2 linked regions of the Styela clava genome follow. The protein of the gene in region 1 purifies or fractionates together with the protein of each later gene. This does not show direct contact. Links are inferred from orthologs where the notes say so. Each region holds a gene or a part of one and is shown in the gene's direction. Other genes may lie near its edges.

Region 1 (7,743 bases):
TATCACGAGATACAAATCTAATAGTAAATACCGAAACACACAGCGCGTAGCATTCTCAGTCCAACAGCATTGATTGATCTTTCATCTAACAGAGCAACAAAAACACGTCCGACCCAGACGGCAGTCTGGCAGAACATTTTCCACATGGATATGGTTGGCTTTAGGGTTAGGGTTAGGTAAAAGAGGACCTCCAGAAGTATGTGCACCAAGATGGCGCACAACCTGAAAATAGTATGTGTGTGTGTGTGTAGCGGATTCAGGTTGTGCGACATATTGCTGCACATACTTCTGGAGCACCAAAAAGGTAGATAAAATTTCGCATGATGACCTATAATCCGGTACATAACCTTGTAAATATGCCGGAAATAGCGCCATAAAACCATGGCGAGAGGCTCCGTGGTTCTTTCGTGGCAGGAGGTGGTAATGACTGCGTCTCCTGTTTTGCGCTGTTTCCCTCTGTTTTGCGCTGGTTTCCTTCTGTTTCGCGCTATTTTGTGCTGTTTCGCGCTCTTTTGCACTGTTCTGCGCTCTTTGCGGTGTTTTGCGCTGTATTCAGTAAGTAGTAAGACCCATAAAATTGTAAACAACATGAGGAATGGAAATAGAATTGTGTTTTTTTGTGATGGTACTTTAGACAGTTAGAAGGAGCCTGTTCTGTTCTAATACTCGGATACTGTAATATGCATTGTAAGATATTATCCAATAACAGAATAACATAAAAATTTTAAATTAGGCTGTCACATGACCAAAATTGCTGTTATTAGCTAAAAACTTTCGGATGCTACGGTAATTTTATTTTTCCTTTGGTAAATAGGATTATTTTTTCTCAAGGAATTCAATTACTATTCAATTACATTACTAGATTGCGCTTTTTTGTAGTATTTTGCGCAACATCATTATACTGTATTATTACCGATATTGAGGGACAACAATGTACAGACGTATCCCAAAGGAGGTGTGTCTGATCATCTGTAAAATGGGTTTCTCTGAAACGGGACAATGTCACCCGATTTGTATAGTGTGCCATATGTTTTCTGTTAAAGTAAACCCTAGAATTAGATATATTCGTGGAAATGGCTTATGTCAGTATGTTACTTGTGGGATAAGTTAGTTTAACTTGGGATACTGATACTTTTAGCAGAACCATAAAAGTACTGTACCACAGTCCACAGTACGATTTATTATCATCAAGATTTCTTTTTTCTGTTTATCAGTAATCCAGTAGTGTGATGGTTTAACATTATTAAATGATAAAATGGATATTGATAGCAACTTTGATTTGGAAGATCGTATAAACACTTTTTCTCAGTGTTCCTCTATACTGAACATCAATGAAAATAAACTTGCGAAACATGGGTTTGCTTACAACACAACTCTAAATTGTACTGTATGTGTTGGATGTAAGAAAACTATATCTGGATGGACAAGGACAGATCAGCCCTGCAATATGAGATTTCATGAATTAGGATGCAAATTTGCACAAAGACTATCAAATGCTACTCATACTAATACCTCAGCACATGAAGGCTCACCGTGTACAAATCAATCCATTGGTGCAACATGTAGTAGTAGTAGCAATCAGAAAAAATTTAAACATTCTTCACCATCATATAAGTCTGAGGAAGGTCACCCAATGGCCTGTTCGCTTATTCCAATAAATCCTGAGCATACAATTGATCATCGATGGAACAGACAAGTGAAAAGTTTACCATACATGATTACAAATAATCCTGCAATTGAGGAGAGGATGGAAGTAGAGTTTCCAACTGAAATGAATCCATTATTAAACCAAAGTTATTCAAACTCGTCCTGTTCTCGTGAAATTTCTCTATCTCAGGCTTCAACTTCAAGGGAGCCAAGACATTCCAGGCCACTCAATTCAAACGAATTGACTGCTTTTCTTGCAGTTCATGATATGAAAATAGCAAAACACAGATTAGAAACTTTCAAAAGGTTTTGGTCAAGAAATATCGTTTTCAAGAATGTTCGATTGCTTGTTATATGCGGGTTTTTCTGTCTTGGTCAAGATGATGCAGTAGAATGTTTTTCATGTCGTTTGATTCTCGCAAACTGGAGTAGGGACGATAATCCACAAAGCAGGCATAGACAACTTTCACCTCATTGTAGATTTATCAGAGGTGAGGATTGTGGTGCTATCCCACTTCCTCCACAAGTACGTGAATCCGATCCATCGATTGGACCACAATCAAGAAGATTGTTACATTCAACTCAAACTCATATTACTCAATCTCCAGAATTTATATGTGAACGACAAGAATTGCTCCAGCTACCAGCATTGCATCTGAATCCACCATTGGCGGCCATTGAGAGGACAAATCTGTTATTGGAGTTTCCATGTATTAACCCAGCTAATCCGGCAATGAGAGAAGAACGAGCGAGGCTCAGAACACTAGAGAATCCTGAATTTCGTAGAAGAACTAGACTTCGTGCATCGAATGAAAGGCTTGCTCAAGCAGGAATGTACTATGTTGGTGATGGTGACAGAACAAAGTGCTGGTTCTGTGATGGGGGATTGAAAGATTATTTGCCTGAAGATGATCCGTGGGTAGAACATACAAAGTATTTCCCACAGTGTGAATATCTTTTACAGCAGCGTGGACCGGGTTGGGTCAATGAAATATCTGCTCAAAATCCTGATGTTGCCAGACCGATTCTTCCAGTGAGAGAAAGACATATTTTACCAAATGCTTCACATGGTTCACAGTCACCTTCATCTGAGGTATCAACTACACAACATTCTTCTGCTTTATCGCTTTCAGGTGAAAATCCTCAACAGCGATTGTTGCATCAAGCAATGCAATCACAAGCTGTTCAAATTGCACGTAGCATGGGATTTTCTGAACAGCAAATTAGGGAAACACAATTGACAAATATCAATATTAATGGAACAATTTTTCAGACAGCTGAATCGTTAGTTGATGCATTGCTGCATTGCAATGGTGCAACAGATCAAGAGACAAGTAGTGGGTCTTCAGTTCAAGGAATTAGCTGTTCTACTGTACAGATTACTCCACAAGGCACTGTGTTAAATTTACCTGACCAAACCATTCACATTGTTGGTGGAAATATTACTGCAAGATCCAATATTTCTGTACCATCATCTCATTCACATAATAGTCCTGCTTTCTCCGAAGCTGGTCCATCCAATAGCAACAACAGTGTATTGGTAAATGGAATGCCTGTAAATCAATATATGAATCATGTATCTCATGCTCCAAGGAATATTCAAATTGAAGAAGGTGCCGGGTCAAACCCAGCACCTCCTTCTGGCAATGGTTTAGCAGCTCTTGGATTGGACCTTCCTTTATCCTCCCCAATGCGTCGCATGACAAGACGACCGACAACAAATACTGTCACTGCTCCTAGAACAACATCACCTTCCACATCTGGCAATTCTACTCAGAGACTGGCAGAGTTGGAGAGAGAGAGAACTTGTAAGATATGTCTCACACTACCAGCAGATATTCTGTTTCAACCTTGTGGTCATATATGTTCTTGTGCTACTTGTGCTAGAAGGCTTTACAACTGCCCAGTTTGTAGGAGAGCAATCAACAGATTTATTAGAACTTATCATTCTTAAAAAAACAATATAACATTAGTAGAGTAGATGTTTGGAATTGTCATTCCTTTATAGTTCTCCTTTTACGTTTTGAAACATGGCCAGGCAGTTTTTGTTAACTAATTAATATCTTACACCAACTGTTAAATGTATTTTGACAAGTAAAGAAAGATTATAATCTTGTTATGTGATACTTTTTGAAAATATTGGTGTTTAAAATGTCACTCTTTATTACATGTATGTGTAAAGTGAATTAATATGCCTTAATTAATATATGAATGTAGTATCAAGGTTATCAATGTATGAATCACCATTGGCAAAATATATTATAATAATTAACTATTTTGTGATTGCTATAAATTTATCAAAGCCATTAAACTGTTCATACACTTTCTTGTTGAGTCGTTCATTGTTTTTTTATGCCTTGATAGTTCAATTAAATGAAATGATTTTTTGACGTATCTCAATAATGGATATAATTGTTCCAACTTATGTATGATTATTGAATATCATGATCTGAATATTTGTATGCTGTTTAATCAATGATTTTTCTATGAATTTAATTTGTTTAAATATTTGTTGCCTTTAATCTTAGATAACATTTTTGTTCTCATTGTCTTCATTTATATAGGTGATGCAGGGTCAAAAACATGCTCATTATAAGGGTTATTTCTGTGTTAGAATATGTTTATAGAATTAGTTTCTTTCACAATTACTTTTTTATTGCATCAATTAAACCTATTTTGTTCATGAAATATGAGCATAATGATATTTAGATATTAGCTTTTTACAATATGTTATCCCAATATAAGAAGCCTGGTGATTATCCATTTCTTTAAATGCTTCAGTGTTGTTTTGACCCATAGTTATTTCAACCCATGTGTTATCTAAAACACTACGACTTTTCTTTATTATTCATATCTTTATTGCCTTGGTTACAAATAAATTCATTTTTGTTTTCCATTTTTTTAAAATTAATATCATGTTACATCGGCTTGATTATATTTCAGATGTGCATTCACGTAACATAAGTATAATTATATAGTGCTCAAATAGTTGTTTCAAATTTTATGGCAGTTATATTTTAATGGCATAAAAATGGCAACTAACAATGAAACAATATTATCTTCTTCACAACTTGATCTTGAAAGTGATGATGGAATGGAAATACCAGTGAGTGACAGCAGAAATTATTAATCTTGCTACAATATCTCAATCTAAAATATGACTACGGAGTCTCAGAGTTTGTGTTTATTGGTTTTATATTTGGGACAGTTGAAGTCTTATTTTTAAACTCTTTAGTCTAGGAAGTTAAATATGAATTTTCAACAGAAACTAAAGAGTTTGTAGGTAGTTTTTTGTTGTCAACATTTGGATATCATGAATTCGGTAGCTGGAATTGGTATTTTTTTAATCTGGAAGTTGTTTTTATCAAAGTGTCAGACAAAGCTCTTGTTCAATATTATACACCTGGTTTGAATTAAGTTATAATCAAAAACGGAAGAAACAATACTTGAAGTTTGGGTCCTACTGGCTGTATACATAGCCTATTGACTCTTAATTTCAATTTTTAGATCAATGTGAATGATGCTGAAATATTCCAAAAAGACATCAACACTCTTACAGTTGCGGATGTTTATAATATTGCTTCAAGTGTTGGAAGGGAATTTGAGAAACTCACGGATGCTTTTGGAGGTACGCATCATGCCTATGGGGTAACATAACAACTTGTTATTATGAAATTTTTTTATGTATAAAATATCAGTTCTGGGAAACTGTTCATCATTTAGTTCCTATATATTTATTATAATTAGCACACCATATAGATTGTATTGAATATAACAGGTTTACATGGCACTGTTTTCAATTTGAGCATTCTCCATTTCTACAGGGGCTATATTTTCCGACGTAATGCCAAAAATGATCAGAGTGTTGGAAATGTTGGAAGCTTTTGCAGCAAAATCTCAAAATATTTCCACAGATGTGGTTGAACTTCAGGTATCAGTTCAAAAATTACAAGCTGAAGAAAAAACAAATGTTACTAAATATAAAGAGGTAATATAATATGGTTACATTTGATGATCATGATGGGCTTTTGATGATCATGCCACTAACATCAATATAATGGTCCCTGCCTCTTGGTTACTGGTCTGCCTGTTTTTAATCAGCCATAAATAATCAGCAAGATAGTTGATAACCATCATGAAGAAGGCACATTTTTTGTAGATTTTTCAAAACTCCAATCCAGTCTTTATTAGCAGCTAAATTTTCAGAGAGTTTACATTTGAATGCAATGTTAGAAAACAAATTAGAATTATTTCAACATGACTGCTGGTGCCAACCAAAAAAATAATTTTTCTTAGTTTGCTCTGAATTCAGATATAATATTTCTAATGTATTTATCATGTTAGGATTTGGATATGGTAGAAACTGCTTGGCGAGAAGAAACAAGACAGTTGCTTCAATCTGTTGAGACTTTGCAAGAAGATAACAAAAAACTCACGCAGCTTCTAACTGAAAAACTGGAAGTACCGGTACTGCTTGTTTTATTGTGATCTTCTGTGGGCTTTATTAATGTTAATTTTCCTAATTTTAAAAATATTTACTACATAAGTACGTAGTATATCCTGATTTAAAATATTCTTAATTAATATGTTGTATATTAATGTGTTTAAAGTAATTGATTCACATGTTATTCCAGGCGCCTGTGGATTCTCAAAACAACAGTGACCAACAAGTTTCTGTTTTATCAATGCTTGAAGAGTCGGTTGAGAAAAAAAGAGATGAAATTCGCGAAAAAAACCTGCAGATCAAACAACAAAGTGCAGAATGTGAAGCGGTTAGTATTGATCAAGGCAATTTATGTACTGTAAACCATCACCAGGAATAAAATTTTAAAAAAATTTGCAGCTTTGGAGGAATATGTAGCAGCAGTTTTTATATCAATGTTTTGTATAAAATGAATCACTTGAAGGTAAGTCTCATGTCAAACATACCTAGTTCTAATGCTCCTTCCTCTGTTTTGGCACAAAATACTATTGTATAATCTGGCATTTGGTGAATACCTCACTATTTGAAAATTTTTAATGGTAAAGGTGAAACTTAAATCTTTTCTTGATATTTCTTTTCTACTACATTTTTAATCAGGCTTTACAATCACCACGAAAGTTTGAAAATTGAATAAAAATCATTTTTGTCTACCTGATTGTACATATGTGTCAATGTTTTATCACAATACCTCACATTTATTTAGTTATCTTCACAAGCGCAACAACTATCAAAGTTGAATGTTAATTTGCGGCGCAAAGTTGCAGTAATGGAACAACAAGCTTCAATCCTGGCAAGTCAAAATACTGATTTGGAAACTATTTGTAAGGAAAAAGATCGTCAAATCAAAGAATTACGAAAGAGGTAGTTATTATATTCAAGTCGAGAAATGAAATTTTCTTGACTTGTCATCTTTTCGCCAAAATTAGAGTTACTTTCTTGCTATGGATCTTGATCCTTTGTAAGTTGTTAGTTAAGTTCAAAATGAATGGAATTGAATGAATTATTTTATTTATGAAAATCAATAGGTTGCATTGTTTTAATACAATACAATACGTGCCAAAAGTAGCACACTGGGAATAGGTAAGTTGCCTGTCCTGACTGATTTTTAATGAAGAGCATTTGTTTTGTAAGCAGCACAGAAGTTATTAAATTAATTGTGCAAGTTTAGGCAAAATTCAGTCCTTCAGTCTACTTTTGTGAGTGATTTTTGGCAATAATTGATATTTTTCATCACATCCTTATTTATATTGTATGTAAATGCTGAGGAAATCCTATTCATGTATTTGCAAATTTGAATGATAGAAGATTTCTCAGTATTATTTTAGGCTCTTCCAAACTTGGTGATATCCAAATTTAAAGCATTGGTCTTTTTGTTAAGTGTTGTTTATTGATTTTATTTGAGTGTACTAGTGGGTGGTATTATGTTTATGAAAATGTGTACAGTTAGGTGGGCTAAAAGATTGAAATATTTGATCTGAATGAAGCATCTTCAACCACGTACAGTCTCTTTAATTGCCTATCAAATAGACCAGGGCTTCCCAAACTTTTGAGCTTGTGGCCCCTTTCGATATTTTAAAATTTTTTGCGATGTTTTTGCCCTGTTCACGTTGGGA
Region 2 (8,242 bases), on another chromosome or scaffold:
AAATGAAATGTAAAAGTCAGGCAGATCAAATTGAAAGATTACTCGACCGTGAAATGGAGTTGAAAAAGGAATATACAGAACTTCATCAACGACATTCTGAAATGATTCGTTCCTATGTAGAACACATTGAAAAAACAAAAACTCTCCAACAACACCTTACTCCAGATTCTATTTCTTATTCCCCAATTCCTAAAAAGCATTTACCAGACAGTTTTGCCACGATTTCACCGTTGTCACCCGAAACACCGTCTTCGAGACAATTAGATTCAACTCCTGTTCAAGAAAATAGCGAACCCATAGAGGCAGCACGAACAAGACGGCTTGAATGGCAAGAGGGTATTGATCCATTTCATCCTAACATTAAGCAAGAAATAATTGAAACAATAAATAAAGAAGACGCTTTATCTAAAGAAGAAAAACTTGAAAATTTACCCATAGTCAAAGAAGATTTAAACAGCGATAGAACAAGCCTGGAATCAAACAGCAGCGGTCTCGATTCTGGCAACTTATTGAGCCACGAGTTCCAACAAAGCGTTCTTAAAATGGGGTTAAATGTGGACGCGTCTACTCCTCTTCATGGAGAGGGAGATGCTTCTTCTTTAACAAGACATCAGCAAAGTTTAGGAAAGATAGGAATTGAAAATGAAGCTTTCGAACACGGAGTCACAGCAAATCACGAATCGTTGTATATAGAAATGTGTGATAAAGATCTAGGAGATGTTGATGACGGTGCAGATATATTAGGAATGGGGAAAGAGTTAGAAAACTTAATGCTTGAAAATACTAAACTTATGGCGACAAAAAATGCACTTGATATTGTTAAAGATGATTTGATTCATCAAGTAGATCAACTTACTAATCAATTAACAATGATTCAAGAAGATCTAGAAAGGGCTCACCAGTCGAAAGAAATTCTCTCAAGACAAGTTTCTGAATTACAAACAGAGGTGAAACGACTTGAAAAAATAAACAAGGAAGCGGGAAATTCACCCTCAGGCCAAACCCCTGTTACACCCATTGGTGAAGATGATCTCACCTCTGCGCAACGGAAACGTTTCACAAGAGTTGAAATGTCGAGAGTTTTGATGGAACGAAATCAATACAAAGAAAGATTAATGGAATTACAAGAAGCCGTTAGGTGGACGGAAATGTTACGGGCATCTCGTGATCACCCAGCCGAATGGATGCCGCCCCCTTCAAAGGAAAAAAGTGGGTCTTCGATTTCACGCTTTTTTAGTCGTCTGTTTGGTCCCAGTACATCCACAACGTCTTCAGCAAATGTTTCACCTTCAAGGCAACGTATGAAGAAATCATCGTCGTCGTCCGTAGCGGAAGACGCAAAAATGCGACATAGTTTATCGGACTCGTTCACAACAGCACAATCAAATATGGGAAAGTAGCAGAATATGGCAAGATAGCATAATTTTCAATTTCACAAAAACTTTAATTTCGGTTCTTAAACATTGATTTCAAAATGTATGGAATATCTTTTCAAATGGACTATGACACATTTTTCCAGAAATATTTTCGAATGGTTTTCTTAGAACTTTAGTTTCAGTATTAGTAATCTAGGACACTCTGCACACAAGTTATGATCTCTCTGGAATATGTAAGTATTTAAAATCCATTTCTGGTGTCTATAAATTACCTGGAAAGCGGAATGGACTGGTACATAAATAATGTCCTTATTAATACACTCATTATAGGGACGGGTTCCAGTGTCTTTCACTTTTTATTCTAGATATTGAATACCTGAAGAGGCAACATACAAGACAACTTAATGTGAGATCTGTGAGCAAAGTACGACCTAAGCTATACTCATTATTTTAACTATGTTGAAATACATATTTTCACTGCTGTTTTTGTATGCTTATGTCGTACAATAATACCAACTTGACATTTGAAATCGAAAACTTTTTAAAAGACAAGTCGTGCCAGATTTCGAAGTGTTCTAGGATATTGCCGTCTAAAGGTTTATTATATTATTAATATTGTACTTCCTTCTTATTGCCCGTTCTTGCAATCTCTGGAATTTTCAAGAACAATTGGGCTTATATAGTATGTATTATTGCATATTGCGTAACCTTGCTTCATGTTCAAATCCGTGTATATTATTAATATTGTAAAGGTGTGTTAATCTTGCTATATAGGTAATCGATAAAGAAATTGGATGAACATGTTATGAACTATGTTCCTTTTTATATTGATCTTTATCCTGAGATTTATTAATAGTGTTTATATCATCGTAAAAATAATTGTTATTAATTAACAGTCAAATGTTGCCGATCAAATTATATCTTCATGTCACTGTGTATTTACTTTGAAGTATATTTGCTTTGAAATTTTGTCAATTTTGTTGAAAATGTTGTCATAGAATGGTAAAGAAAATTCTTTATATTAGTACCGCAGGTTTTTCTTTCGAATTATGGAAACTGACTATGCTTCTTTATTAGTTTAAATTTTTTCATTTAAATCATGCAAACGATTGTACAATTTTTTGTAGGGGTTTTGTTAAGGTTATTTTGTGCACATAAAAATTATCCTGAGGGTAGGAAAATTCGAATATTATAAGTTGTATGCCTTATTTCATTTGCGTAAATGCTTCATTGTTATCTGTATTTCAGTAGAAGCCTTGCTTCGGCCATTTCACTAAGACTTATTTAACTGTTAAAGCTGAATAGTAATAGCAGATACCACCATTTGAAATTCCAGATTTTTACCATTTCGTGAGTGTTACCAAATCAGTGTAAGAAATGTTCTTTCTACATACTGTTTATTAGATATGGCATACAACATCAACAAACATTTTTCAATTTCATTTTGATATTTTAGCATAGTCAATATGAATATGCTATATATGGTGCTGTTGTAGGTACAGAATTTTATTGCTTAATTATCAATCTTCTGTTGAAGATTATGAATATTTACACATTGCTGGTGCTTTTCTTTGTATAATAATGTTGTTATTGTGCTATGTGCAATCCCTAATCTGTCTTTATTTATGTATAATCTCTGAAGACACAGGTCATCTTTGGCCAGTGCAACTGCAAGTATAATTATTTAGATTGACATGGAAATGCCACTCAATAGAAAAGTTTGTTTATATTTTTAAATGATCCTGATAATGAAAATCCAAATTTTTGCGTCAGATACGGAACAATAGGATGCATCTTGGCTTTATTTTGATGATGGTGGCTCTCAGTACTGGTTTCAAATCTTATAAATTTGATCGTTTGTCTTGAAAAAAGTTGGTCGGAAAAGGTTTTACTGTGACCCCCATTTAGCCTATTTGCAACCCATGGGGTGCAGGAGGCCTAGTTTGAAGATTTGTTTGGGACATCCCGGGTCTAGTGTTTCCTTTTCATTTATGATATACTGTTTTGTTTTGCCGTCCTGTTACTGTGTCATTTTACTTGATATGTTACAAACACATTGATAATTAATCAATTTTCTTTCATTATTGATACTGTGTTCTATAGTTCCATCATCCTTACTATAATTGTTGTTCTGCTTCAAGATGGATGTTGTTGTTGTTTACTGTTTATAAATTTTTAATTATAGGATTGTCAGTATATTCGTGGGAAATGAAGAATTATAACAATCTAAATAAGGCATAGACAACATTTAAAAATAAATTTATCAGAATTACTCTTTTTTTCAATTTTTGGTCGTTTTGTCAAGAAATTATGATTTATGCCAATACTATTTTTTTTCAATTTTTAATTGTTTTGTTAAGAAATGATTATTAATGCTAACTTCAGCATACATACTATACTATAGTGTTCATGAACATTTGAAAATTGAAATCTTTGCATAAAAAGAGTTCTAGAATTTTAAACTATCATTCTTTTTTTCTGAGCCAAAGTAAATCAAAGAATCGATGATCGTAAGGATGTTTATTCATGACCAATCTTGAATAATTTTTTATTCATCTCCCTTTATTGGCCATACTTAGCCAATGATAGTTTGTGTGACTCAATGTTGCTCAAGAAACGCCTGCTGCAGTTTGAAAAACTTTTTTTGTGAAAAAGGATGCCATTGTTGTGAAATGAGCAGCAAGAATTATGTTTTGTTGTTTTGACAAAAATCAATAATATGAATTGAGCTCATGATTATTGTCTCATGAAGTTTGTGCTTTACTTGTTTCATGTTGTAGAATTTTGGTGAATTACTCAAATCTTTCAAGTTAGTATTAATAGCTCATTGATTTCATAACCTTTTTTCATGAATTTTTGATATTTTATGGATTTTGAAATGCTTTGAATTCATCTATCCGCTTGATAAATTTTGAATTTTGTAAAATCCCCAAATATTGTACGAAGCCATTCAATTTCATGTCTATTCTTATTAATGCCATATGATGTTCTAGTTTTTTTTACTGGAATATAGTGATTCGATTTAATTGAAAAGTTTCCAAATTTGGTTAAAGTTTCATCCTTATCTATATATTTGATACAATTGATGGCAAACTGAAATTTTTATTTTCAATAATGAACAATCACATCAATAATGCATAATCTGCATTCAAAGTATTTTTTGTCCCCTGTATTTCTTTTACCACATAATTTTGGTTCACATTAAAATTAAAATATTATGTTACATTTGTGATTAGAGGATAGAATCCATATTCAATTATAGTAAAGAAATATGCATATAGAAAAGTAATTTTACGACAACAGTTAATAATGACGTATGAGAAAAACTGGAAATTGTCAATGTTTTTGTTGATATTTTTAAATGTGTTTACGAATACACATTTCTGGTTTGTCCTTTATCAAAATCAGATACGTGAGGATGTCCATATGAAGATCGCAAGAACACTTACCCAATAAAGTTTAGCCGAACATCTTCAGAAAATACAGTAATTTAGTTGAAATATGTTAATTCTGAACTATTTATTTTGATTTTGATTCAAATGCTTCAAACGCTAATAAGGAATCACTACCTAAATTTTTATTTCTATCCAGATTGCCACTATGTTTAAAAATCTAGAAAAAAAATTTTTTATGTCAAAAATATTATTTTTGTTAATAGCATTATGCATGCTTTACAAGTAAAATATTTGTCTTCATTTTTTTGTGCTATATTTTATCCTCATATTATTGTATTTGCATCTAAAATACAGATTCTGATTAACTGCAATAGTAAAAGTAAGGTATATATTACCATATCCAGTTCGGTAACGAAAATAAACAAATAAGATATTACTTATTGTACAATAACCTGCTATTGTACACTCATCCACGAAGACCATAAAATGGCCAAGAAGACGTATGATTTATTGTTTAAGTTACTTCTTATTGGTGATTCAGGGGTCGGAAAGACTTGCGTCCTGTTTCGATTTTCTGATGACGCATTCAACACAACTTTTATTTCAACCATAGGTGAGTTCACCAGATTCCTTTTTGCTTTTTAATCTCTTTCAAGCACGGCTGCACTTTAAGATTTTAAGTCTTGTGATTGTCTTATTTCAAAAGCATTCAGTTCATGGATTTTTTCTTTACAATAGAGCCATGGATAAAAATAGTCCAGTTTGAAACGAAATCATTGTATGTTGAAATGTAAAATAAATATAAAATAAAATGTAAATGGAAAATATTTCATAATACTCAAATTATGGTAAAAAATAGATTTTTAAATGAATATTCTGGTCTCCGAATGGACCAATGTGATTTCTTCCAATTTCGAATACCACACATTGTGTTAAGATACATGGTAAAATCATGAGATATACATCGTAAAATAAATGTTATATAAATTAGTGATATCGTTTGGGCAATATCCTAACAAAAATATGTTGTAGAATATCTCGAATTACGGAAAAACCTATTTTTAATTGCCATCAGTTTCAATTGTTATTGTATGAAGAAATTCCAAATCAATGATGGAAGCAAAAGGTTTTGTTACATACATTCTGTATAGAGTTATTGGCAAGTTATGACAAGTCACGATTTTGCTGACATTGCGTTGCCCATATTGGTCATTTGACCTTCTTGCGTTATATTTGAGCATTGCTCACTTGTTTTTAGTTGTGCGGGTAACAGTCTAATTTTGCATATTGGGGGATAATTTGCTTAGATATTGTGTTGTATTGTCTAATTGTTATATAATAAAATTATTCATTATAAGTTCTATTATCCTCGTATGATTACCGGTAGATGATGTTTCCTTGCTAAAACTGAAATGTCATCTTAGCTTACTAGAAACTGTACACCAGTGGTTCCCAACCTTTTTTGTTAAATTCTCCCTTTCCCTATTTTGAAATCTTCATTCCTCCCTCCCCATGCATAAAACTCAACTTTATTTGTCAAATCTTTATTAATGGATTCTTTACTAGTGTTATGCACAAGTCGAGCTCCCGTTTTTGTACAGTTTAAGTAGATTAATATGTTTTCAAGAATAAGTATTATAGTAATAATAAAAAACTAAATAATAATAATATAACTACATCCAATACAGAGCAAACTTTACTCCTTGGAAGGGTATTACTGATTGAGTAATACTGATTGAAGTTGTGTGAAAGATAAAAAAAAAAATTGGTACCGGTATATGAAAGAATTTTAAAATAATTTTTCTTTGTTTTAGGTATTGATTTCAAAATCAAGACAGTTGAATTAAATGGTAAAAAGATTAAACTGCAGATATGGTGAGTCAGTGGGAATAATTAAACATTTCCATATTCTGAATCAAGCTTAAAACACAGATAAATCGTTCATTAACTGCTAAAATCATATGCAACCAACCTGGACCGAGTTATATTTAAAGTATTAATAAAGTTTTTTCATGCAATTATCATACTCTACGATCCATGATAAATCAGTACCGGCACTATTCTTTTATACACAAACCATCATCTTACGCAATGAACTGAAAGCAATTATAACGAGCATTCTATAGCAACTTCAATCAGAGGCACAGCCAGGATATTTTGAGGGGGATTAGAACAGTACTGTTGTTTGTTGAGCTTTGTATGGTTCACTTCTTAAAAAACGTTGCGCCCTATATATGAATAGAAAAACAATCTAAGCAATTTATTGACTGTGCGCCTTGTGGTTCGAAAAATATGGTTTGTGAATTGTAGGCTTATCTATTCCAATTCCATTGTATATATCAGAAGACTCACAACATTGACTCATTTCCATTCATCGATTTTGGCAATGACTTTTATCATTGATACATTGTATAATGCGACGACAGTTTGACATTGTCAATTTACTATTATATGTTACCAATGTGAATAAAGTTGATAGATTTTATCAAATTTTAATTAATGCACACTAATTTAAGGATGACCGAAACCGAATTAATTAGTATTCCGAATACATCCTAAAATATTCTTTTCGGGTATGAAATATTGAATGTGTAGTGTATTCGGAAATGGTCTGGAATTTATATACTTACTAATACGCTTTTCATTTCTTTTTGTTATGTAATTATTTGCGTTTGAAGTATAAATTTCATTTCAGGGATACTGCTGGCCAAGAGAGATTCCATACAATCACCACCTCATATTACAGAGGGGCAAATGGAATCATGCTCGTCTACGATATTACCAATCCGAAAAGTTTTGACAATATATCAAAATGGTTACGGAATATTGAGGAGGTGTGCTTTCTTTTATTTATAGAAATACGCAAGGCGTAGTAGGCTAGAGTCTAATGTTTAATATTCCATTGATTTTATCGCTGTATAACAGTTAGAATCGGGGCTTTGGGGTCAGAAAAAATCCACCCAACTCCAAACCTGTTGCCACTTTTAATTTGACTCCTACTCTTGACTCTAGGTTAACAAAAATTCCGACTCCGGCTTTCCGCACCATGTTGCGGAAACCATGTTTCCAACCCCGCCCAAATGTCTGAGAAAACCAAATTTTGGTAACTAGAACTGTCCCTTTTTTTAATGGCCTGTCGAGTTTGAGAATGCTTTGGCAACTCAATGCTTTTTGAATTTAATTAGTATCCTGGTTTGTCCCGTAATCATCATGATTCTGAATAAATAAAACATATTTACTCGTTTTCAAGGAGTTTGAATTGACTTCAAATTTAATACAAACGTGTCAAATTCCAGATCTTCAACCCTGTTTATTGAGTATTCTTTGATCATTGATGAATGGTCTATTTATTCATTCATCATACTGCGTTAAATGTCGATTTCACAAATTCAATATGGACAATATTTATATTATTGAAAGATTTATCTATGCTTTATACCTATTAGAGACTTAGAGAGAATTTCGAACTTC

Evidence for each region.
Region 2: the proteins of RILP-like protein 1 (region 1) and ras-related protein Rab-10-like purify together in Homo sapiens (co-immunoprecipitation; 3 studies listed by BioGRID and IntAct, with this or other methods). This does not show direct contact. The link is inferred for Styela clava from reciprocal best matches to the Homo sapiens genes RILPL1 and RAB10.

Annotation. Positions count from the first base shown.
Region 1 is NC_135253.1:320,501-328,243, reverse strand, and holds the start of RILP-like protein 1, read left to right. Parts: upstream 1-4,611; 5' UTR 4,612-4,678; coding exon 4,679-4,753; intron 4,754-5,154; coding exon 5,155-5,275; intron 5,276-5,471; coding exon 5,472-5,635; intron 5,636-5,991; coding exon 5,992-6,114; intron 6,115-6,281; coding exon 6,282-6,419; intron 6,420-6,833; coding exon 6,834-6,991; intron 6,992-7,743. Other genes in the region: inhibitor of apoptosis protein-like, read left to right, coding at 1,256-3,601. UniProt on the Homo sapiens protein: Plays a role in the regulation of cell shape and polarity. Plays a role in cellular protein transport, including protein transport away from primary cilia.
Region 2 is NC_135264.1:13,765,795-13,774,036, forward strand, and holds the start of ras-related protein Rab-10-like, read left to right. Parts: upstream 1-5,116; 5' UTR 5,117-5,257; coding exon 5,258-5,384; intron 5,385-6,585; coding exon 6,586-6,646; intron 6,647-7,466; coding exon 7,467-7,605; intron 7,606-8,242. Other genes in the region: C-Jun-amino-terminal kinase-interacting protein 4-like, read left to right, coding at 1-1,400. UniProt on the Homo sapiens protein: The small GTPases Rab are key regulators of intracellular membrane trafficking, from the formation of transport vesicles to their fusion with membranes.